Ovis aries: one gene and its partners. The protein of the gene in region 1 interacts with the protein of each later gene in a pairwise test. Links are inferred from orthologs where the notes say so. Each region holds a gene or a part of one and is shown on either strand. Other genes may lie near its edges.

Evidence for each region.
Region 2: the proteins of PTK6 (region 1) and EXOC5 interact in binary tests that used the Homo sapiens proteins (3 or more experiments, as listed by UniProt). The two-hybrid records come from large-scale screens. The link is inferred for Ovis aries from reciprocal best matches to the Homo sapiens genes PTK6 and EXOC5.
Region 3: the proteins of PTK6 (region 1) and FCHO1 interact in binary tests that used the Homo sapiens proteins (3 or more experiments, as listed by UniProt). The two-hybrid records come from large-scale screens. The link is inferred for Ovis aries from reciprocal best matches to the Homo sapiens genes PTK6 and FCHO1.

The regions. Positions count from the first base shown.
Region 1 is NC_056066.1:53,827,649-53,835,677, forward strand, and holds the start of PTK6 (protein-tyrosine kinase 6), read left to right. Parts: upstream 1-2,921; 5' UTR 2,922-2,991; coding exon 2,992-3,221; intron 3,222-4,888; coding exon 4,889-5,010; intron 5,011-5,273; coding exon 5,274-5,434; intron 5,435-5,920; coding exon 5,921-6,074; intron 6,075-6,674; coding exon 6,675-6,836; intron 6,837-7,851; coding exon 7,852-8,029. Other genes in the region: tyrosine-protein kinase Srms, read left to right, coding at 96-289. UniProt on the Homo sapiens protein: Non-receptor tyrosine-protein kinase implicated in the regulation of a variety of signaling pathways that control the differentiation and maintenance of normal epithelia, as well as tumor growth.
Region 2 is NC_056060.1:67,663,102-67,670,612, reverse strand, and holds part of EXOC5 (exocyst complex component 5), read left to right. Parts: exon of another isoform or gene 1-787; intron 788-925; coding exon 926-1,034; intron 1,035-1,298; coding exon 1,299-1,514; intron 1,515-2,126; coding exon 2,127-2,315; 3' UTR 2,316-7,511. UniProt on the Homo sapiens protein: Component of the exocyst complex involved in the docking of exocytic vesicles with fusion sites on the plasma membrane.
Region 3 is NC_056058.1:5,137,850-5,144,503, reverse strand, and holds part of FCHO1 (F-BAR domain only protein 1), read left to right. Parts: coding exon 1-127; intron 128-1,803; coding exon 1,804-1,916; intron 1,917-2,021; coding exon 2,022-2,109; intron 2,110-2,263; coding exon 2,264-2,372; intron 2,373-3,283; coding exon 3,284-3,439; intron 3,440-3,731; coding exon 3,732-3,864; intron 3,865-4,315; coding exon 4,316-4,515; intron 4,516-5,384; coding exon 5,385-5,440; intron 5,441-5,962; coding exon 5,963-6,127; intron 6,128-6,654. UniProt on the Homo sapiens protein: Functions in an early step of clathrin-mediated endocytosis. Has both a membrane binding/bending activity and the ability to recruit proteins essential to the formation of functional clathrin-coated pits.

The DNA.
Region 1 (8,029 bases):
GGCAGGGTCTGCCCAGGGCTGGAGGTGGGCTCCAGGGTGACTCCCAGGCCAAGGGAAGAAGCACCTGCCCAGCCTCTCTTCCTGCCTCTCCCCAGGGATGAGCAACCACGAGACTCTACAGCAGATCTCACGGGGGTACCGGCTCCCGCGCCCGGCCGCCTGCCCGGCTGAGGTCTACGCGCTCATGCTGGGGTGCTGGAGGCGCTGCCCGGAAGAGCGGCCAGACTTCATCACACTGCGGGAGAAGCTGGGCACCACTAGCAGGCGCCACCGCCCCACCCTCACATGACCCGGGCTCCTGCCCAGAGACCCCTCTCACAGGACAGTGTTTGCCAGCAATACCTGCTGCCCAGAACTGGTGCCAGCCCACAGAGCCTCTGGCTGTGGGCCTCACACCCTGACACGTGCTGACACACAAAGCTTGTGCACACGAGGCAGACACACGCGGACACCCGCTCAGACAGGAGAGGGACCGGCGTCCTCCACCAGGGTGACTAGTATTCCCCAGAGAGGGAGGGTCTCAGCAGAGAAGCCCAGACAGAGCCCACATTCGCCCTGACCTCAGGGAGACACTGGGCAGAGAGGCCTCCTGCCCGTGCCTGCCTCATCGAGCCCCCTCCCACAGTCAGGAGCCTCGATGGGTTGCTGTGGCCTTCTTGCAGCTGCCAGTGCTAGGGCTTTGGCAGGCCCAGGGCGCTGGCCCCACTTGGCACACAGACTGGCATAGCTGCTCCCTCTTGTGGGCCACCTGGGCCTGACGGCTCAGCCCACCATCTGGTGGATCGTGCCCGAGGAAGAACTGGACCTCACGTGCCCACCTCCACCCCAGGGCATCTTGGCATCCACATCCGGGGATTCAGAGGCAGCACACCCCCTGGGCTGTGGGCAGGAACAGGATGGTGGGGGAGGCTGCAGAGGCCAGCTAAAGAGCCTTTCCCATGCCCCTGGGGCTGGAGCAGAGAGAGAGGGAGGGAGGGAGTTGTCAGACCACAGGAAGCTCAGACTGGTGACTAGGTGACTGCGTGTCGCTCTGGGTGGTTCTCTGTGGGTGGGGCAAAGGTCAGGGAGGCATCATGCCTCAGAGCTGGGGTCCTGGGTGCTGGCTGACTGTGCAGGGTTGGGGTGGGGCAGACACTGATGCTCTGGCGTCTGGGCACCTGGTGACCACTGGCCCTCCTGTGACAGGAAGCAGCCAGTTTCCAGGTGCAACTGCTGCCCTGGGGCTGATCTCAAGCACGGCTTTGTCACAGGACGTGCGCTGTTGGCTTCACCTCACCCTGCCGGCTCCAGTCCCATGAAATGGACATGGACAGGGATTGGGCAGGTGGGGTCCACCCTAAGGGTTCCCGACTGTCATCCTGGGAGCCCCAGGCTGGCAGCTGTGCTCCAGAGGCCTGTGGGACAGAAGGGGCAGAGGCATCATGGGAAGCTGGGACCCTAGGGTGCAGATAAGTGACCCTCCCGCCCCAGGGGCTGCTCAGATGCTCAGAGAAACAGTCTGTGCAGGGTTAGAGAAACTGGGGCAGGGGACTTCCCAGAGGGGAGGGGAGGGGGCCCTGGAGGGTGAGGGATCCCTTGAGCAGAGAGGGGAAGTGAGAACAGGCCACTTCAGGGCCCCAATCACTTTGGTTGTGGGTCAGAGCCTGAGACATGGTCCCCAGCATCACCATCCTCAACCAGGCAGATGGGGGAGGGGGCAAGAGGGTTTGGCCCGAGGCTTTTGGGACACCAGGCAGCTGGGCCTCAGCTCTGCCCTGGCATTCAGCCCCTGACCCCTCTCTACCCTCTCCTGGGAGAGCTGGGGTGCCCGAGGGTGAGGGCTGGGCTCCTCTGGCTCAGGTGGTTCCCAGACCAAGAAGCCTGTGGGGCTCGGGCTCCAGCCGTGTTGAAGGACTCACCTTCTTCGTTTCCTGGGGTGTGTGGGAACTGGGGCTGGCAGGCATCCTGGGCAGGGAGGAGCATGCTGGGTGGGGTGACAGGAGAGGCAGGTGTGCGTGGGGGTCACCGGCGTTTCCCAGGGGCATGTCATCAGCACAAGCTAAACAGGTTTGATGCTGATGCCCTAGTGAGGGCCCAGGCCTCAGCCTCAGATCCCTCCCATTTGCTGGTGTGATGGGCAGAACCGGAGGCCCTCTGGACAGAGCTCAGGGGCGGGGCCCAAGGGCAAGGGGGTCAGAGAGTTCTGGCCAACGGTGAGGGGGTAGGTGTGCAGGGGTGGGGGCTTCAGAACTTCTCACCGCCCAGCCATCTGTCCGTCCCCTCTGGGTCCTCCTTGGTCAGAACCAAGCAGGCTTGTTCTTGATCTCAGAGAGGCGGATGGTGCCTAGTCTCTTCTCAATAAAAGGGAAAACGCCCACAAGCAGGATTGAGTGTGTGAGTCCCTGCTCATTGTCCTCACAGCCCTCCCATCGGGCAGAGTCCCTGGCACCCCAGCCTCTGGCCGGGGAGGAGGTGCCTGGGCCTCGGGGGAGCTCCTCCGGGGGCAGGCAGAGAAGCAGCCCTGGGCTTCTGGTGGGGACGCTGCTGGGAACTGGCCATGCTGGGATCCAGGCCCAGCCACACAGTCCGGGGGCTTTGGGGGAGGGCGTGCCTTGTCCCGCCCCTCCAGCTCCAAGTCCCACACCTCCTGCCTGATCAGTGACTCCCCTCTCCCCTCTCCTGGCGCTTAGGTCTGGCCACGTGGCCAGTGGCACCTGTGACCACTTGGTGGGCAGCTTTCTCGGCAGGTGTTAACTGGTCAGTTAGTGCCCAGACTGACCTGGCCCAGGGGGTGGCCCTCAGGGTGGAGCCTAGGGTGCCTGAGAAGGCCCGAGCGGGGCTGTCCTTGGTGGCATAGGTGTGGCTGGCACGGCTGCCTCATCACAGGGATATGGGTGGTGGCTCAGTGGGGCAGGGACAGACTGCTGGGAACAGCCGTGCCCACATGCTGCTCCCAGCTGGACCGGAGAAGGTGGCAAGGCCAGACGGCCCAGTTTTGCTGCTGCACCAGCCATGGGATCCAAGGGCCAGGCTCCCCTGGGCCCCCAGTATGTGGGCCTCTGGGACTTTGAGGCTCGGACTGCTGAGGAGCTGAGCTTCCGGGCAGGGGACCTCTTCCACGTGGCCAGAAAGGAGGAGGAGTGGTGGTGGGCCGTGCGGCTGGATGGGGCGGGCCGGGCCCTGGCTGAAGGCTACGTGCCCCACAACTACCTGGCTGAGAAAGAGACGGTGGAGTTGGAGCCGTGAGTGTCCCTGTGGCCCTGGTGGGTCACTCCAAGGCACCCCCATCCCTGGGCTATGCAGCCCCTCTTGAGCTTGGGAAAGGAGTCTGTGGGGACAGAGCTCTGTGCCTCCGTGGCTGGCCTCTGGGTGCGGGCAGGCGCCTTGGGCAGCCACAGATTGGGAACCCATGGCTCCATATCCCTACCCCTGTCCTCCCGAGAGGCCGGGCCTACCATCCTGGTCTTGGGATCCCTGGCTGGGTGTCTGTGTGTGACTTCCGGGGAGGGGGTCCTGAGGCTGTGGTCCCTCCCCTGGGCTTCCCCATGGTCAGTGCACGGTGTGGGACCCAGAGAGGGCAAAGTCTGGGCCTTCTGGGGAGTGAAGCTTTGCTCCCCTTCCAAATACCTGAAATCAGACATGTGGTCTCATCAGAGGGAGTGGGAAGGCTGTTGAGACAGGCCAGCCGGAGTGTGGGCCACAGACATGCTTCCTGTGCCAGCATGACTGCCTGTCACTGGCGAGATAGCTCTGGGAGGTGTCTACAGTCCTGAGGGGCTGCCCAGGAATCTTGGGCCACAGGAGTGGCCTGGCCTGGGCTGCTCACGACCCGAGGAGGTTCTATGGACTCTGGGTAGGCAGTCCCTGTGCGCCATGCGCCCCACTGATGGAGTGCCTACTGTGTCTTCCTGGAGGGACACAGCACACACTGGATGGCCTCAGGCGGGATCAGCATGGCCAGGGCAAAGGCCCCGAGTCCCTGGGAACACAGCACATTTGAGAAGTGGAAGAAGGCAAGGAGGTGGGGTTGGGAGCAAAGGGGAGAGACTCCAGAGGTGCTGGGCAGGTGGGTGGGAGTGGGCTGTGAACCCCACAGGGCTCAGTGCTGGGCAGTGGTCCTCTTGTGCGGGTGCTCACATTTCAACAGGGCCTGAGGGGTTGAGGGTACAAAGGGCAGAGCGGCTTGCAGCAGAGGTTCCCTGGGGAGTCCCACTGGCCCCACCTTGCCCTCCAGAGTCCAGGCTGGTCCCTGCTCTGGTGCTGGGAGTCGGGGTGTGAGAATGGGTGTGTGCTGGTACGTGTGAATCCTCAGATCCCAGGGCTTTTGAGCACCATGTGTCTGTGGCCCCAGAGGGAGAAGGTACCACAGGGTCACAGGACAGTGTAGCCCAGGAACTTCCCTGGTGGTCCAGTGTTTCAGATGCCGCGCTGCCATTGCAGGGGTGTGGGTTCCATCCCTGGTTGGGGAACTAAGATCCCATACCCTGCATGTTGTCTGGCAAGGCCAAAATGAAAAAAAAAAAAAAAACAACCCCACAAAAAACCCAAACAAGATGGGTCCAAGTGCATGGCTGCAGAGTCACATCTGAAGTTGGGGATGGGTCGCTGCACCCATAGGATGGGGGGCTCTATCCCCACAGACAGGGGATGCCCCAGGCAGAGTGGTGGGGGGCCTTTCCCACTTCTGGATCTCCAGGCCTTTCCTGGTATCCAAAATTGACCACTTGGGACATTTGGGGTTGGCAATGGGCAAAGAAGGGTGCTCTGGGTCAGTGAGTGTCAGAAGGCATCTGTGGGTTTGGGCTGGAACACAACTCAAGGAGGCAGAGGGTCAGGTCAGGTGGGGGCTGGGACTCAAGGCAGGGGCACTGGGGGGATCTGCTCTGCTCAGGGTACCCCCATCCTGCAGGTGGTTCTTCGGCCGAATCTCTCGCTCGGAAGCTCTGCACCGACTGCAGGCCATGGGCAACGAGCAGGGGTCCTTCCTGATCCGCGTCAGTGAGAAGCCAGGCGCCGATTATGTCCTCTCGGGTACCCACTTCCTGCCCTCCCCGCTCCACAGCCGCCTCCCCACCCCCGGGCCTGACTTCCAGACTTCTGGTCCCTAAACCCTTCGTGCATGTAGAGCTCAGCCCCTCTGGCCTATCCTCTCCCCCGCCCTGGGACGTCTAGACCTTGCCCTGGGAGCTCTGACCCTTGGTGGGCGAGGGCCCCAAGGTCTGGGCTCCTGTCCCGAGGTCCTGTTGGGTCCTTACTTTCTTGGCACCTGCTCATGAGTGCCCCACTCTGTGCAGTGCGGGACCAGCAGACCGTGCGCCACTACAAGATCTGGTGGCGGGCCGGCCGGCTGCACCTCAACGAGGCTGTGTCCTTCCCTGGCCTGTCCGAGCTCGTGGACCACCACAAGGTCCAGAGCCTGTCCCACGGCCTGTGGCTGACCTCACCCTGCAGGAAGGTAGGGGCCCCTGATCCCCATGCCAGACCCTGGCCTCCCCACTGCCCCTTACAGGGGTGCGAACCCTCCAGTGGAGATGGGTGTGGGTCTTTGCCTCAACTGCCTGGGGACCCTTGGGGACACTCTCTGGGGACTCTGGCAGCCAGTCAGCTGTGTTTGTACAGAGCCGGGCATGGGGGGAGGGTGGGCACTCTCACCCCCGGGTCAGCAAGAGGTCAGCTGTGTTCCTGCCATGTCCTGAGTCTCTCCGGCCATATGCCCTGGCCGGCAGACAGACAGGACTTTTGTCTGAATGGCAATCAGGTCAGTGTCACTGGTTCAGAGCAGGTGGAGGGTGCTTTTTGTCTGCTGGACACAGAAGGGGTCAGCTTGGCTGGGGGCAGCCTCTGTGAGCCCGGCTACATGCTGGACACCAGGACCCTCCCCAGCAGGACGTGGCTGAGGCTGACTTCATGTGGACGGGTGCCCCCGCCCATGTCCCTGCAGCACGAGCCAGAGCCCCTGCCCCACTGTGATGACTGGGAGAGGCCACGGGAGGAGTTCACGCTCTGCAGGAAGCTGGGCTTCGGCTACTTCGGGGAGGTCTTTGAAGGGCTCTGGAAGGACAAGGTCCGAGTGGCCATCAAGGTGATCGCCCGAGGTCAGTGGGCCAGTGGGGGTCGGGTGGCCCAGCAGCCTTGGGCCCTGACAGCCCACCCACCACTCAGCACCCTGATCTGGACCATGTGCGGCACCCAGTGCGGCGTCTGGGTGGCTTTCTGCTTTCATGCCGCTGCCCAAGTGCACTTATCCTGACAGGAAATTTTAAATTCTTAATGTAAATGGAAGAAAAGCCCTTAGAATAAGTAATCACCAGAGATCTGAAAAGGTTCCTTTAGACTCTTCTTAGATGAACCACCAGAGGTTCAGATCACCCACTTCAGGAACCGGGGACCCAGGGCTGCAAGGGAGCACATCTAGGGGGAGTTCTAGCTCCACATCAAGCTGGGCAGCGGTAAACCCCATGGGGGTGTCTGTGGTGCCTGGGGTGTGGGGAGAGCTGCTGGTGGGCATAGTAGACCCCCATGTGAACAGTGGGGATGAGGCTGGGTCTGACCTGGCATCCTGGCCTGGGAGATGGGGTATCTGGAAGGGTGTCCACATTTCCTGAGCTGCTGCTGGTGTGGCTGGGTGCAGGGGCAGGCTGAGGGCCCCCAGCTTCTCCAGGGGCCACACCCAGCGAGGCCGCCCACCCCCACAGCCGACCTTCTGCACCAGCACACGTTCCAGTCGGAGATCCAGGCCATGAAGAAGCTGCGGCACAAGCACATCCTGGCTCTGTACGCAGTGGCGTCCGTGGGGGACCCGGTGTACATTGTCACGGAGCTCATGCCGAAGGGGAGCCTGCTGGAGCTGCTGAGGGGTGAGTGGGGGCACCAGAGTGACTGTGCCCGCTGGAGGGAACTGGAGATGTGCACAGATGTGTACCCCCCACCACGCACAGGACAGCCTGGGGTTCTGGGGGGTTCCTCAGCACTTTTCTGCTTACAAAAGGATTTAAAATATCTTGTGATGAATGTACCACTCGTTGACAAAATACAGATAAGATCAAAGACAAGAAAAGCCTCCCATCACTCCTGCACCCACAGTGAACTGAGGCCTCTTTAGTCAAAGCCTTGGTGTGGCTGCCCACCCCTCCTGCTACTGGGACACACAGCCTACTCTCACTGCTGTTCTCTCTTCCTAGAAGACACTGTCCCTTCTTCTGGTGTTTGTGAACATGCTTACACAGCCACACACCCACACACACTCGCACGCCGTGTGTCTCATTGACGCACATACCTCATCATCTATAACAAGAGCCGTCACTTAACACCCAGACCAGACAACCACAGCCAGTGAGCAGAGGCGCCACTGTGTGCAGACGTGGCCTGACTGCAGAGATGCTGCAAAGAAAGAAGTGTGCACGCAGGATAAACTACACCCAGTATGCATGTGTGCACATCAGGGGGTCTATTTTAATATAGCAACATTGGGAATACTTTCCATGTGATAATTGCAAGCAGTTTCCCATATCACTAAATGTTCATCAGAAATGAAATCCTGGTAGTCTGTGAGCCACCACGTGGATGTGCCATGTCCACTTAGGTGCCTGTTGTTGACACCTTCTAAGGTTTTCATGTAAATAATGCTGGGCTGAACATCTGTGTACATATGTCTGCGTTCTTACTTCTTCAGTGTTGATTCCCAGAAGGAAATTCCAAAGGGTTATGTGCTGACTGTATCAGCCTCTACAAGGCCTGCAGTGGCTCCACAGTTCCAATTTGAAATCAGGCCATCTGCCCTTTGCCCCAACCCCTCCCCTGAGCACACGAGTCTGCAGAGAGGACTTGGCCCTGGCTGGTCCTGTTCACCCTGGCTTCCCCTGGCCTCTGCAGACTCTGATGAGAAAGCCCTGCCCATTTCGGAGCTGATGGACATTGCAGCACAGGTGGCTGAGGGCATGTGCTACCTGGAATCGCAGAACTACATCCACCGGGACCTGGCTGCCAGGAACATCCTCGTGGGGGAAAACAATATCTGCAAAGTTGGGGACTTCGGGCTGGCCAGGCTCAT
Region 2 (7,511 bases), on another chromosome or scaffold:
TACAGATGAGGAAGTGAAGGCTTAAAGAAATGAAGTAGTTTGCTAGAGATCATACAGTTAATGCTGGTAGAACTGGAACTCAAATTCTAAAGCCCATGCTACCAGGTTTAGGCATATTTTTACTTCCTGTAATTCTTTTTTCTCTTCCATTCAAGAAGACATATACGAATATAAGTTACTTATAGGAACTCTAGCTCTAAATATCTTTATCTTTTGCCAGTCTATCCTTTCCAGCTTTGTTTCTTGCCAATCTGTCCTTTCCCAGCTTTGTTTTATTCACTGTTAACGCTTAGATTGCTTGTTCCATATCTTTAATTACTCCCTCGTAATTACCCTAAAATTTATTTCCTTTGATCATAACTATCTTACAGATCCTAAACTCTGGATTAATGCAGATTCTGTTATTCTGATAACTGGATGGTTCATTGCTGTTGGAGAATGTCGCAAAACTCAGACATTGTTTGTGCCATTACAGACTCATACTTCATTTCTCAACTGGGCCTTCAGTACCACTTATTCAGCCTCCTGCTTATCCTTAGACTGAAACTCGGGTTCTTCTCACCTGTTCTTCCAAACTTTGGCCATTCCTTATAAGTTCTTCTTTCTTACTCCCTTCCTAAGCATTCTCCAAATATACTTGTGAAAGAAATGAATTAGTGACAGTCTTCTAAGATCTTTAAGATTTCCTTAAATAAAGTAATGGACAAATGAATCTTTGCCCTGTGTTTTGAGCAGGAAGCTAATAAAATTAAGATCTCTTTGCTATCAAGAGCTAGAATTTACTTGTTTTATAATCTGAAGTATACCAATAGTAAAGTAGTTTTATGGTGACATGAAATTAAATAATTTAAATTTAATTTAGTATAAATAATATAAATTAAAGTAAATTAAATGGATCAAATACATGGTATTCTCAATTCTGTAGGACATTAAATTGTATGATTGGACAAATGAAGCATATCTTGGCTGCAGAACAAAAGAAAACAGATTTTAAGCCAGAAGATGAAAACAATGTTTTGATTCAGTATACTAATGTGAGTAAAATGATTTAATATGCTAGTAAGAATATCTGCTTTATTCATATTCTTATTAACATTTCATTGATGTATCTTATTATGCTCCAAGTGTTTTTTTATATCTGCTTTATTCATATTCTTATTAACATTTCATTGATGTATCTTATTATGCTCCAAGTGTTTTTTTTTAATTCTTAGAGATTAATGAGAAATTATATGTATTTTCTCCTTAGCTAAGCTAATACATATTTCTGTGTAATAAGTGTAGAAAAAATTTTACAGGCCTGTGTTAAAGTCTGTGCTTACGTAAGAAAACAAGTGGAGAAGATTAAAAATTCCATGGATGGGAAGAATGTGGATACAGTTTTGATGGAACTTGGAGTACGTTTTCATCGACTTATTTATGAGCATCTTCAACAATATTCCTATAGCTGTATGGGTGGCATGTTAGCAATTTGTGACGTAGCTGAGTATAGGAGGTGTGCCAAAGACTTCAAGGTATGTATTCACAAATATCAAACTTGTAAATAAGTTCAAGAACATAAGTCAGATCATAAAAATGTATACTGACATAACCATCGGGAAAGTTTATAACTTTTGTTGATACTGTAATGAGACAGATCTGACATTTCCTAAATGAAAAAGTATTACTCCAGTCAGTATTAACGCATTTTTGCTTTGAGCTTTTAGAAAATGCCATATTTTAGTTCCATAGTCCAGATGACCTTATTAATGCCCATAACTAATGCTGTATATCATATATCAAGAAAATATGTTCTTTCTTCATGTATATCTCTCTGAAATTAGTTTCCATCCAATGTTTAAATTATTTTAAAAAGCTGTAAATTAATGATAACTAGTTCTACTTCACAAAAGTATAAATGATTATTACTGTTTGAGTAAATTGGCACAATATGAATCTTTTCAAAAAGATTATGTTGAGTTTATATAATGTCTGAAATATTTGAGTTTTTTAACACTTTGGTAGCTTTTAAAAATTCTAACATTGAACTCTTTAACAGTTAATTCCTGACAGTACATAAGTGAGAAGAATTTACAAACTGATTATAAAACTAGAAATATTTTTTTCCTTCTCTTATCTCAATTCAGATTCCTCTGGTATTACAGCTTTTTGATACTCTGCATGCACTTTGCAATCTTCTGGTAGTAAACCCAGATAATTTAAAGCAAGTCTGCTCAGGAGAACAACTTGCTAATCTGGACAAGAACATTCTTCACTCCTTCGTACAACTTCGTGCTGACTATAGATCTGCCCGCCTTGCTCGACATTTCAGCTGAGGTTGAATTTACAAGGGAAATGTGTTGTACTCCAGCAAGCCTTGGTTGAAAGAAAGCACAGAAGGTTTCTTATGACACAGCCAACATTTTATTGAAAAATGACTGTTTGGAAAAACAGCAGCCATACTTACCCTTGAGGATTTATTTGAAATTTGGACAATACTAAGAATATTTTGGTTTTTCCTTAAAAGTTTTAATTCCATTTCTGAACTTATATAAATCTCAAACTCTGTGAAGCTATATGTCATTGTTTTCATCCTGGAAAATGTTGATGTCAGAAGGTAAATGAGATTGTTACCAGTATTCCAGTTCATGTTCTTTAACATAGTCCATTGGGAAATTTCAGCTTCCTGTTTTGCACTAATGATGGGTAAAATACAGCAAGACTCAATTATTATTTATCAGTTTTCAATGACCTTTACAGCAGTGGTAATTGTTAATCAGATTATTTTTAAGTTTTCCTGGAGAACTTTTTACCTATTTCAAAGGTTGAAAATTGGGCATAATTTCTGTAGTTGGTTCATTGAATTTTTTCTGAGGTACAACAGTAATACTATTCCAAAAAAATGTTATAAAGAAAACTAAAATGAAATACATTTTATGTAGGTATTAGCAGTGTGGATCAAAATACATCTGCTTTCTGGGTAAAAGGAAAAAAAAAGTTTACAATTTCTTATTTGGTAAACAGATTTTAAGCCAATGCTAGCAAGAAGTTAATAAAGCTACCTTATTTTATATTTCTTTTAAGATAAAGTAGAGGATGTTAACTAAAGGACCATATTTATTCATTATTTTAATATTATAAGGGAAGTAAAAAAGTGAGGTATAGACTAAATGGTGCATATGAGAATTACTGGCAGTGTTTAGCAGCAATGCAATCCTTTAAGATTTTTATCCTTATGCTAAACTGAAAAAAGATGGAATGGCTAAACATGCAGGTAGTCTTCTCTTTTAAGAGGAATTGGGAATTGATAGTCAGCATTATATTCTAGTCCAGAGATGAACTTTGTAAGGACTAGTAGTTTTTAAATATATAGTGTCTGTCATTATCTTTTTCAAGGCATTTCTGAAGCGATTCCTACTGAGTGTAGTTAATTGAATTGGCTTAATATGGTGACATAATAAATCACTTATAAAATTTTAAATATCAAGTGGAAATTAAAAAAAATTATTAACTATAAACTTTCTCTGCAAGAATGCATTCTTAGCTGTATGTAGTGTTTCAGCTTCCATTGTATTATTCGTAGTCTTCCAGGAACAGATAAACTTCAATGTTTGACTCATTTTTGGCTTTTCTTTTTCCTCTAATGTAGGCTTTTTGGCCTAATTTTGGAAAACTACATTTAAGAATATGTTTCTGAATGTTCAACTTTACCAAAACTTCCAGGTCCAGAGTGAGCTAGCTACTATTTAAGTTACTTTTAACTGAATTTTCTTCATTTTCTGTTTAGCCCAGTGTTATCTAGGTAAGCAAGAGAAATAAAGTATGCCAACATTTATCAAAGCATTTTAGGAAGTTGTGGCAGCTTTGGAAGGCTGTCTAGTTTTCTGTTCCTTAGCCAAAGGAAAGCCAGAACAGGTTTTGGATATTAGAGAGTCATATGCTTGTACTATTGCCATTTTAGAAAGCTCTGATGTGAATTCAAATTATACCTCTGTTACTTAAAGCCAACAATTTTAAAGCAGTAGTTTTACTGGCCATTTGAACTTTGTACACAGTGTCAATTTGTTTAAAAAAAAAAGGGGGGGGGGAATATCAAATAAAACATGAGAGAACATTATAAGACTTCCACATCAGAGAAGTGTTTCAGATTATTTTGTTTGGATTAATTTTTAAAATGTAAAGCATATATTTGTTGCATAGCTATTTTGTTGATTTTTATTTTTATATTTGAGTTATGTGCAATATTTTCCATTATGACCATTGACAGGACACTAACAAAGAAAACTCATAAGTGAATACTTAATTTAGAAGTGTTAACATTATTGCTCAATAAACAAATTCCCTGCAGTTGTTTTTTTATTTCACTCCATTTTTACATTTTGAAGACATCATACTGAATTTTATAAATTATTTTTATTGAATTTTTAAGATGTTCCTTATTTTCATGGCATAGGTCTTCTCACTTCCTTTTTAAGCAGGAAAATACTTGACTATATAATCAAAATTAGAAACAAAAAATTTCTCTAAGAAAAAAATTTATTGTATAAAACAGTGTGCATTCTTTGGATTTGTTATATTTGATTTTTAAAGTAGTTTTCATATTAGTGGACAGTATGAAATTTTGTCCCAAATATATATGACTCAAAAGAGATGATAGATAAGTAAACATATGCATATGGTAAAATTTTAGGTAGTGATAAAGGAGCTTTATACATTAGTAACTTTAGCCAACATTTGAATAAGGAGAATCTTCATAATTTTCCAGTTTCACATGAGCTAACATGCAATGTTTAGAAAATATTTTGAAATTAAAAATATGCTCTTAAACACTGCATTTTTAGAATATGCAGAAACACTCAAGAAAAAGCTTGAGTGTATTATGTTTTCATAAAATGATACAGAAAGTGAAATATAGAATGCAGGTGATATTGAAAACAACAGCTAACCAAAGTAGATGAATACTTCTTATGAGGAATTATTAACATAATGGCTGGATGCATCCTTAGACAGTTGGCTATCTGACTATTCTAAGACAATTATTAGTAGCCTCATTTTGAGTACCACCATTGTTGTAAATCCCTAGCACCTTTCTTCTTTTAAAGAGAGCTTCTAAGTAAGTTAATTTATGGTATAGTTTAGACTATCTCTTTTCTCTTTCACTTGAAATATTTCACATCATAAAATAATTATCACCCAGTAGATAGATTCAAAGTGGAGAATGTGCTGCTTCCTTAAAATGCCTTTTGCTCATCTATGATGTTGAATATTTACATCTAGTTAGATAAAGAGATTTTTGTTCCTGAAATGCCAGAAAACCTGTAAAGGTGGTCATATTTATATATTACCTAAGGCATAGGCTGCAGTCCATGGGGTCGCTAAGAGTTGGACACAACTGAGCGACTTCACTTTCACTTTTCACTTTCATGCATTGGAGAAGGAAATGGCAACCCACTCCGGTATTCTTTCCTAGAGAATCCCAGGGATGGAGGAGCCTGGTGGGCTGCCGTCTGTGGGGTCGCACAGAGTCTGACGCGACTGAAGCGACTTAGCAGCAGCAGCAGCAAGGCATGCTTGAACTGCATGTGAGAGTCAGGTATCCTGGGTGTGTAATTTGTTAGTGACTTCAAAACCTCCTATCTTGGAGTTTAGCTTTTTTTAATGCAGAGATATTCTGTGTATTACTCTTATTTGCCCTTTGACTCAGAAGTGTGAGATGTTTTCTAGAAGCATAATTTCTAGTGCAGAATTTGACATACAAAGCATTCTGTGCTTTCATCCATTTAGTTTAGCTATATTCAGTTCTCTAGTACTTCTCTTGGCTTGAGAAAGTCTGTCGTGAAATACATTGTGTACTTTGGAGGAAAAGAACCAGTCCATATTGTTACTTTAAGTAATTCTACATAAAGTAAAAATGGCCTTTAAAAATTTTGATGCATAAAAAAGACAATTATAGCTATATTTATTGACTTAAGTCCTGTGCACTGTGCTAAGCCCTTTGCATATGTTATTTCATTTGGTTTCAAAGCAGCCCTAAGAGCAGAGTACTATTATCTCCATTTGAAGATGCCCATTGCCCAGAAAGTTGTAAGTAGATCTGCTCAAGGTCTGCAGCTAAGTAAAAGGCTCAGATTGAAACCTGAATCATTCTCGCTATTTGTGCTTTATGCACTTTTCTCCCTATGTAACATTAAATATTAAATAGGTCCTTTAGTTTGATGGGCTCATTAGTTTTGTTTAATCTTTCCTTTCATCCAGTATTTGGTTCTCATTGTAGTGTTTAGATTATGAAGTTGAGATACAGAGCTAATTAATTTACTCTTAGACTTTTTTTTAATGTGTCCATTGTGTAGTCATACACAACCCTCAGTGTAGAAGAGAAATCTGACACATTAGAAAATAAGAATTTTAATTGGTGATTTGAAGCAGCTAGGTTGATAACCTTGGGCTTTAAAATTTTATAAGTGGTCATGCAATTTAATTGAATATTAAGTTTGTGCCTACTAGAAATCTTTCCTTCAAAAAGTTCTTTAGTAGTATTTTGTGTAGTCATAGTGCTACTTGAGTTATAATTTTTGCAATAGAAAGAATTCAGATATTTTGTGCCATAGGAGTAAACGACAATTCCACCTTTAAAGATAAGAAATCAGTATTTCTGCCTTCAGAAACAAACTATTTTAATGTCATAAGTTTGCCAGTTCTGTTGATCATTTAGTGCATTGGTAGTGGTAAAATAGCTAATGCTAGAGTGAAAGCATAAGAGAAAAAAGTACTCAGTGTATTAGCAATAGGCTGTCATTTTCATGTAATCAAATATTGTATATTTAATGTTTTTAAAATTGCCTTAACTCTTAACTTTTATTCTTACTACTGATCAGTCTTTCTCTTTCCTAATTTAAGGGGAGAAACAACCCTCAGTGTAGAAGAGAAATCTGACACATTAGAAAATAAGAATTTTAATTGGTGATTTGAAGCAGCTAGGTTGATAACCTTGGGCTTAACAAGACTGATATTTTTAAACAAGGCCCTGCGTGCTTTCGGGGCTTCTGCTGCGGCTCATCTGGTAAAGAATCTGCCTGCAATGCGGGATACCTGGGTTCTACCCCTGGGTTGGGAATATCCCCTGGAGAAGGGATATTCTCCAGTATCCTGGCCTGGAGAATTCCATGGACTGTCTAGTCCATGGGGTTGCAAAGAGTTGGACTTGACTGAGTGACTTTCACTTTCACTGTATACTTTTGGGCTTACCCTGATGGCTCAGACAGTGAAGAAACTGCCTGTAATGTAGAAGACCTGGGTTTGATCCCTGGTTCAGGAAGATCCCCTGGAGAAGGAAATGGCAACCCACTCCAATATTCTTGCCTAGAGAATCCCATGGACAGAGGGCCCTGACAGGTTGCAGTCGATGGGGTCTCAAAGAGTCGGACATGACTAAGTGACAAACGCTTTTTTCTCTGTATACTTGAACATTGTTATCTGGGAGGTAACGCTAAACTTTAGTTCTTAGGATTAATAACACTTTTGTGGGGGAGAGA
Region 3 (6,654 bases), on another chromosome or scaffold:
AGCCCACCTACTTGTAGGGTGTCACCCCCGGAGTCGAGGGGCACACAGTCCCTGCTGCCATCAGATTCGCCACAGCCCCTTGCAGCATCCCCGAGCCCCTGGGGGCCGGAGGCTGTGGCTGGAGGAGGTGAGTCCCTCTACCCCTGGTCTGAGAGTTTTCTGAGCCCTGGGCGATGAGAGAGTTCCTAATGTGGCCAGGGCCTGAACAGGGTGTTGAGGGACACAGCTGGGACCCAGGCAGGCAGAAACCCTAATCCTTGCAGGGACATTAATGAGATGAATGTTTAACAAGGCAGGAGGTGACAGGTGCCTGGTGACGGCTCCGAAGCGTAGGGCCTCCTGAAGAGGCGGAACTGAGATTTGATGGAGGTGAGGATGAAGCCAGGTGGACTCCAGGAATGGAATTCTCAGCAGAGGAATGTGCAAAGGCCCTGGGGTAGAAGGGGGCTAGGCCCTTTGAAGAACAACGAGCAAGGAGGCCAGCGTGACTGAAACAGAATAATGACAGGGAGAAGAAGGGAGTGGAGGGGCAGATGTGGACAGGGAGATGGGACCAGATGGGGCCCAGGGATCCCAGGGAGAATCGTGAGTTTTACCCCTAACAAGGTCAGAGCCACAGCAGGGAGGGGCTGTGAGCAGAGAGGGGTAAAACCTGCTGGGGTTACCGGCTCTCTGACCACTTGATCGGTGAGGATAGGAGCTGGAGACTAGGGAAGTGAGTCCAGGTAAGTGGTGATGGGGTGACAGTCGGGAGAAGCCGCTGGTAGACATGGGGCCCAGCGAAAAGAGGAGTCAGGGCGGAGGGTCTGAGAGCAACTGAGAGGAGAGGGAGGGGCAGAAAGAGCAGGAAGGATGGGGCGGAAGAAGCTGGGGTGGGCGTGTGCAAGGCCGGGAGGGAGGAGGGGATTGGGTGTGGGCTGGCTTCTGGGCCCTGAGTTAGAGGGGCTGCAGGCTGTGGCCACGTGAGATCCCCAGCACTGGGGGCAGAGGGTACCATCCTTGGTGTAAAGAAAGAGCCTGGTTGGAACTGGTTCAAGGGAGGGCTCAGGGCTCAGAGGAGTGAGTGCAGACCGCAAGTGTAGACAGATGAAGTTACCAGAGGTGTATCGCAGAATTAAGGTTCTCAACTGGGCCGGTTCTGCCCCTTTATTCTCCGGCACACTTGGCAACAGGATCACTGGTACTTGACTGTCACCACTTGGGGGCAGGGTACACCTGATGTTTGCGGAATGGAGGCCAGGGAGGAAGACAGCCCCACCACAGCAAGGGATCTGACCCGGCTGAGAACCTTGGGACAGACAGCATTGTGTGGGGTGTAGGTGGGCAAGTAAGCGCTTGTAGATGGAGCAAAGCAGGAATACCAGGGAAGCAGGAGAGCAAGGGGAACTGAGGTGTTAACACCGAGATTAGTTAAATTAGAAGGGTGTGACTCGGACACTGGCCAGGGTGGGAAACCCTCTCAGAGAGGATGAAGGTCGTAGAATTGCCAAATGTTGGATAAAAGGTCTCTGCCAAATCCACCCCCCTGCAACAATGTGCCTGCCTTCTGAACATCCAGCCCTTGTTTGCGTACCTCCAGCGATCGGGAGCTCACCCCTTACTGAGCCACCAGTCTAGTGTCTGGGAGACTCAAGGTTGCATGTGGTGTCTCCAGTCCTGTCCAGCACCTTCTCTGCAGCCCGAGGACTTCTGACCATCAGGCGGTTTCCCCCTGTGAGCCCGATTCTCGGATTGGGGCTGAATTCTTCCCCGAGAGGCCCAGACAGCAGCTGAGCCATGTCTGTGCTTACGCTTGTTCCCCAGACTTGATGCCTGTACCTGCTGACTTTGCTGTCAGGGAGGGTCTGGCAGCCCCATCCCGGAGACCGCGCTCCAGGAAGGCATCCTGTCCCCTCATGCGCAGCAATGGAGACCTGGTAGGGTCGGGGGCAGCAGGAGCTGGGCTGGGGGGGTCGCCTCCAGGATCAGCCTCGGGGCACTTCTGCCAGGGTGTTCACAGGCCGGCTTCTCTTCCCTTCCAGTCTCGTTCCCTGAGCCCCTCTCCACTGGGCTCTTCAGCTCCCAGCTCCATCCCTGAACGGCCCAGCTTCACATCCCAGACCGGACATGGTATGTGGGTCCTCTCTGGGCTTCAGGGTCACCTTCTCCAGTCCGGGTGGGTGGCCAAGATACAACAGAGGCTTTGTCGCAGAGGGCGGGGGTTCGGGAGCCTGGGATCTGTGCTCACTCTGTCTGTCCCCCATTCCCTCCCTGCCACCCCCAGGAGTCTCTCGGGGTCCCAGCCCTGTGGTCCTGGGCTCCCAGGATGCCCTGCCCGTGGCCACGGCCTTCACTGAGTACGTCCATGCCTACTTCCGTGGCCACAGCCCCAGGTACACAGTGGTGGGGCAGATGGGGACAAGCAGACAGGGCTTCCTGGGAGCTGTGCATCTGGGTTCCAGCAGGGCCAGCGTTCAGGGGGGTTTCCTGATCTGCTTTACCACGGAACGGCCTCTAGGCCCATCCTGAGAGCAATAGGAGCCATAAGGGGCATTTGAACAGGCTAAGGCAGTGAGGTGGGCTTCCCAGGGGGCTCAGTGGCAGAGAATCTGCCTGCCACGCAGGAGATTCAGGTTCCCCGTGTCGGGAAGATCCCCTGGAGAAGGAAATGGCAGCTCGCTCCAGTATTCTTGCCTGGAAAATCCCATGAACAGAGGTGCCTGGCAGGCTACAGTCCACGGGGAGGCAAAGAGTCGGACATGACTTAGTGACTGAGCGGGTGTGCACACACACACAGGCAGGCAGGCAGGGCACTGATGTTTCCATGGTGGAGCGGAGCTCCTCCGAGGCTGCTGTGGGCATCACACTGCAGGAGCAAGACCAGAGGCCAGCCCACAGAGCGGGAAAGGGAAAGGTGACTCGAGGGACCAGGAATAATCTGGGGGCAGCGCCCAGCCGAAAGACACTGTAAGATGAAGCCACAAAGAGTATCAGACCCAAAACCCAAGCTGAGGACTGAATGGTTTGCTTTGAGCTTCCTGGTGGCCTAGGGGAAAAGAGAAGGGGGAAGGGAGTGTCCCTGTCTCCTTCAGCTCATTGTGGATTCTTCCTGGTGTCTAGATTGCTGTCCAGGCAGGGAGACAAGGGGAGGTAGCTGGGGCTGGGATGCTGCCTGGGTCAGGGCCTTGCTGATTCTGATGGACCTGGTGAGCCACAGGCTACAGTGGAGCTAGTAGCGAGGGGAGGAAGAGGAGCTTGGTAGAGCCCTAAGCCAATGCCCAGTTTCTTCAACTCCCCCCACCAGCTGCCTGGCTCGAGTAACTGGGGAGCTGACCATGACCTTCCCTGCCGGCATCGTACGCGTGTTCAGCGGGACCCCACCCCCTCCCGTCCTCAGCTTCCGCCTCGTGCATACGGCCCCCATTGAGCACTTCCAGCCCAACGCTGACCTGCTCTTCAGGTACCATTAGAAGAAGGGGTGCATAGTTGGGTGGTACCAGGGGCTGGAGGAGGCCAGGCGCTCCCCGGCCCTGAATTTCTGTTCTGCCTCCTGGGATTTGCTGTGTGACCTTGGGCAAGTCACTCTCCCTCTCTGAAACTCACTTTCCTTCCCTCTTTTGCTTCCCACCACCCTCCTTTCCTGGGAGTTACACTTTCCTGGTCCCAGGGTTAGCCTGGGAATCTGCATCTTCAGGAGGCCTTTGGTGTAGGCATCTCCCAAGGGTTGGGGTGACTCTTCTTGGTCTCTGCAGTGACCCTTCCCAGAGTGACCCAGAGACCAAAGACTTCTGGCTCAACATGACGACTCTGACTGAGACTCTGCAGCGCCAGGCAGAGCAGAATCCAGCTGCCTCCTACTACAACGTAGTGCTCCTGCGGTACCAGGTGGGCCGGGTGGATGGGGTGGGGCAGAGCGGGCATGGAGGATGGTGGGCAGGGGCAGGGTGAGCAGGCAGCTCTCACTGGGAAGAGCAGTGGGAGTGGGGGGAGCTGTGGGAGGTAGGCAGGGTGGGCAGTGTAAGGGGGCCAGGACTCTGCTGGGGCAGACGGCTGCATTATGCAAATTAGAAGGGGCCTTTTCCCAGGGCCTGTCCCCAAGACTGTGTTAGAATGAGGCACTCTATTGCCCTCTGCTGGACATGTCATGTAGTACAATCTCTCATCAACAAAGAGCTCCCTTGGGGTATCAGGAGCCCCTCGGGTGTCACAGGCAGTGCAGAATCAGGCCATTTGAATGCTGGGTGACATGGCAGGGGCAGCATGGCTGGACAGTGTGTGGTGTGGCAGGACAGGGCAGCTCAAGCCACATCCTCTCTCCTGTTCTTGCTCCCCCTAGTTCTCCCGCCCCGGTCCCCAGTCCATGCCTCTGCAGCTGAGCGCCCACTGGCAGTGTGGGCCGACCCTCACTCAGGTCTCGGTGGAGTACAGCTACCAACCCGGTGCCACAGTCGTGCCCACGCCACTCACCAATGTCCAGATCCTGCTCCCCGTGGGGGAACCTGTGACCAATGTCCGCCTGCAGCCGGCTGCCACCTGGTGAGGGCGAGCGGGAGGCCGGGAGAGGCTCAGATCCTAGTAGACCGCCCTCCGATGCAGCAGCTGATGGGTCCACTGTAGGCCTGACCATTCACTGTGGGCTCACCTTGCTCAGAGGCTTCCCAAAGAAGCTTGGTGTTAAAGAACCCATCCACCAGTGCAAGGAGACGCAGGAGATGTGGATTCAGTCCCTGGGTCAGGAAGGTCCCTGGGAGGAGGAGATGGCAGCCCACTCCAATATTCTTGCCTGGAGAATCCCCACGGACAGAGCAGCCTGCGGGCTACAGTCCAGGGGGCCGCAAACAGTCAGAGAGGACTGGAGTGACTGAGCGCGCTTGCACGTGCCTTGCTTGGAGCTAAGGGCAATATCATTAACAAAAGTAATGTCTGACACCAAAAGCTTCCTACCTGTTAGGCGTGTCCTACATCTCTGCATACACTGACTGGCTCGGGGCTTTTAGCAATCCCTTGAGGGGTGGATCACCATCATCCCCACTTACCGAGGGGGAGCTGAGGTATACAGAAGCAAAGTCGTTGACCGGAGGTCACACCAGGATGTGAACCAGCCACCCACTCGTGGCCCCGGGCTTTTAGTCACTGCACAACTTTGTTTTGTGCAGAAGGTAGAACCAACAACCAAGAAACCGAATTTATAGGACCAAATGCATCACCTACAAGTGCTATGAGGCTGAGGAGCCTTCAGGAAACAGCTGCTCCACACCCCCGCCCCCATTTTCACACATGGGGAAACTGAGGCCAGGGAGGGGACATGGCTTTCTTGGGTCATGTAGCCAAGAGGCAACTGAGCTGGGACCCTGGGCTCCGAATATCTTTTCTGGGAAAGACCTGACCTGATCTCTTGATGCCAGGAACCTGGAGGAGAAGCGGCTCCTATGGAAGCTTCCAGATGTGTCTGAGGCAGGGGGTGAGTTATGGTCGTACATAAGGGCTTGGAGGTCTCAAATGGGATAGGCTTATTTAAACTACGGAAGAGGGAATTCCCTGGCAGACTAGTGGCTAGACTCCACGCTTTCACTGCAGAGGGCGGGGATTCGATTCCTGGGCAGGGAACTAAGATCCAGTAAGCCATGGGACGTGGCTAAAAATGTTTTGTAAATAAACTAGGGGAGAACTAGGGATGTGCTGGAGCAGGGAAATGTAGGCATCAAGGAAAGCTTAAAAGGGCTTTGACAATGCGGAAGAGAGGGCATCCCAGGGGGTGGGCGCAGGAGATGCACACAGGAGGTGCAAAGGCCCTGAGGCAGAATTCCTTTGGAAACCACACACAACCCCAGCAAGACCAAAGGAAAAGGGTGCAGGACAAAAGAAGTCGTCAAAGGGAACAGAGCCACAGGTCAAAGGGCTTGGGTGCAGGGCTGAGGAGGAGCCCAGGTCACTGGAGGGCTGGGGTGAGGAAAAGGGCACGGCTGACCTCAGACCTCCCCAGGCTCTGGCCGCCTGTCTGCCAGCTGGGAGCCATGCTCTGGGCCCAGCACGCCCAGCCCTGTGGCTGCTCAGTTCACCAGTGAGGGGGCCACTCTGTCCGGCGTGGACGTGGAGCTGGTGGGGAGTGGCTACCGCATGTCGCTGGTAAAGAGGAGGTTCGCCACAGGTACGCCCTTGCCCTGCCACTGCACATCCCCGGAGCCAAGACCAGGCCGGGCTCTGAGTCCCACTCATTGCTTCTTCTAGGATGCAGGGGGAGGGGAGACATTTAGGGTGTTTGGAAGAGATAGGTGGGTGTTGGGGCCTGGAGACCCAAGGTGGCGGGTACGGGTGGAGAGATGGGTGGTCAGAGCCCCAGTGAAAGGGATCAAGACGTATCCTCTATGGGACTTCCCTGACCAGCCAGTGGTTAAGACACCATGCTTCCACTACAAGGGGCATGGATTCAAGCCCTAGTCCGAGAACACATGCACAGTGCAGCCAAAAAAGAAAGAAAAAAAGAAGTGTCCCCTGGCTGGCTGGCGTCCTTGCGAGAACCCAAGGCAGGGAGCCGGAGGCCCCACTGGTGCATCCACCCCCACCCCCATCCCATGCTTCTGTCCTCATGAGCGGCTGCTGGGGTCCATGGGACAGTGGAACAGTGAGTTACAGGGGTGTTTGGGAGAGCTTAGGGGATCCCTTCTCCCCTCACCA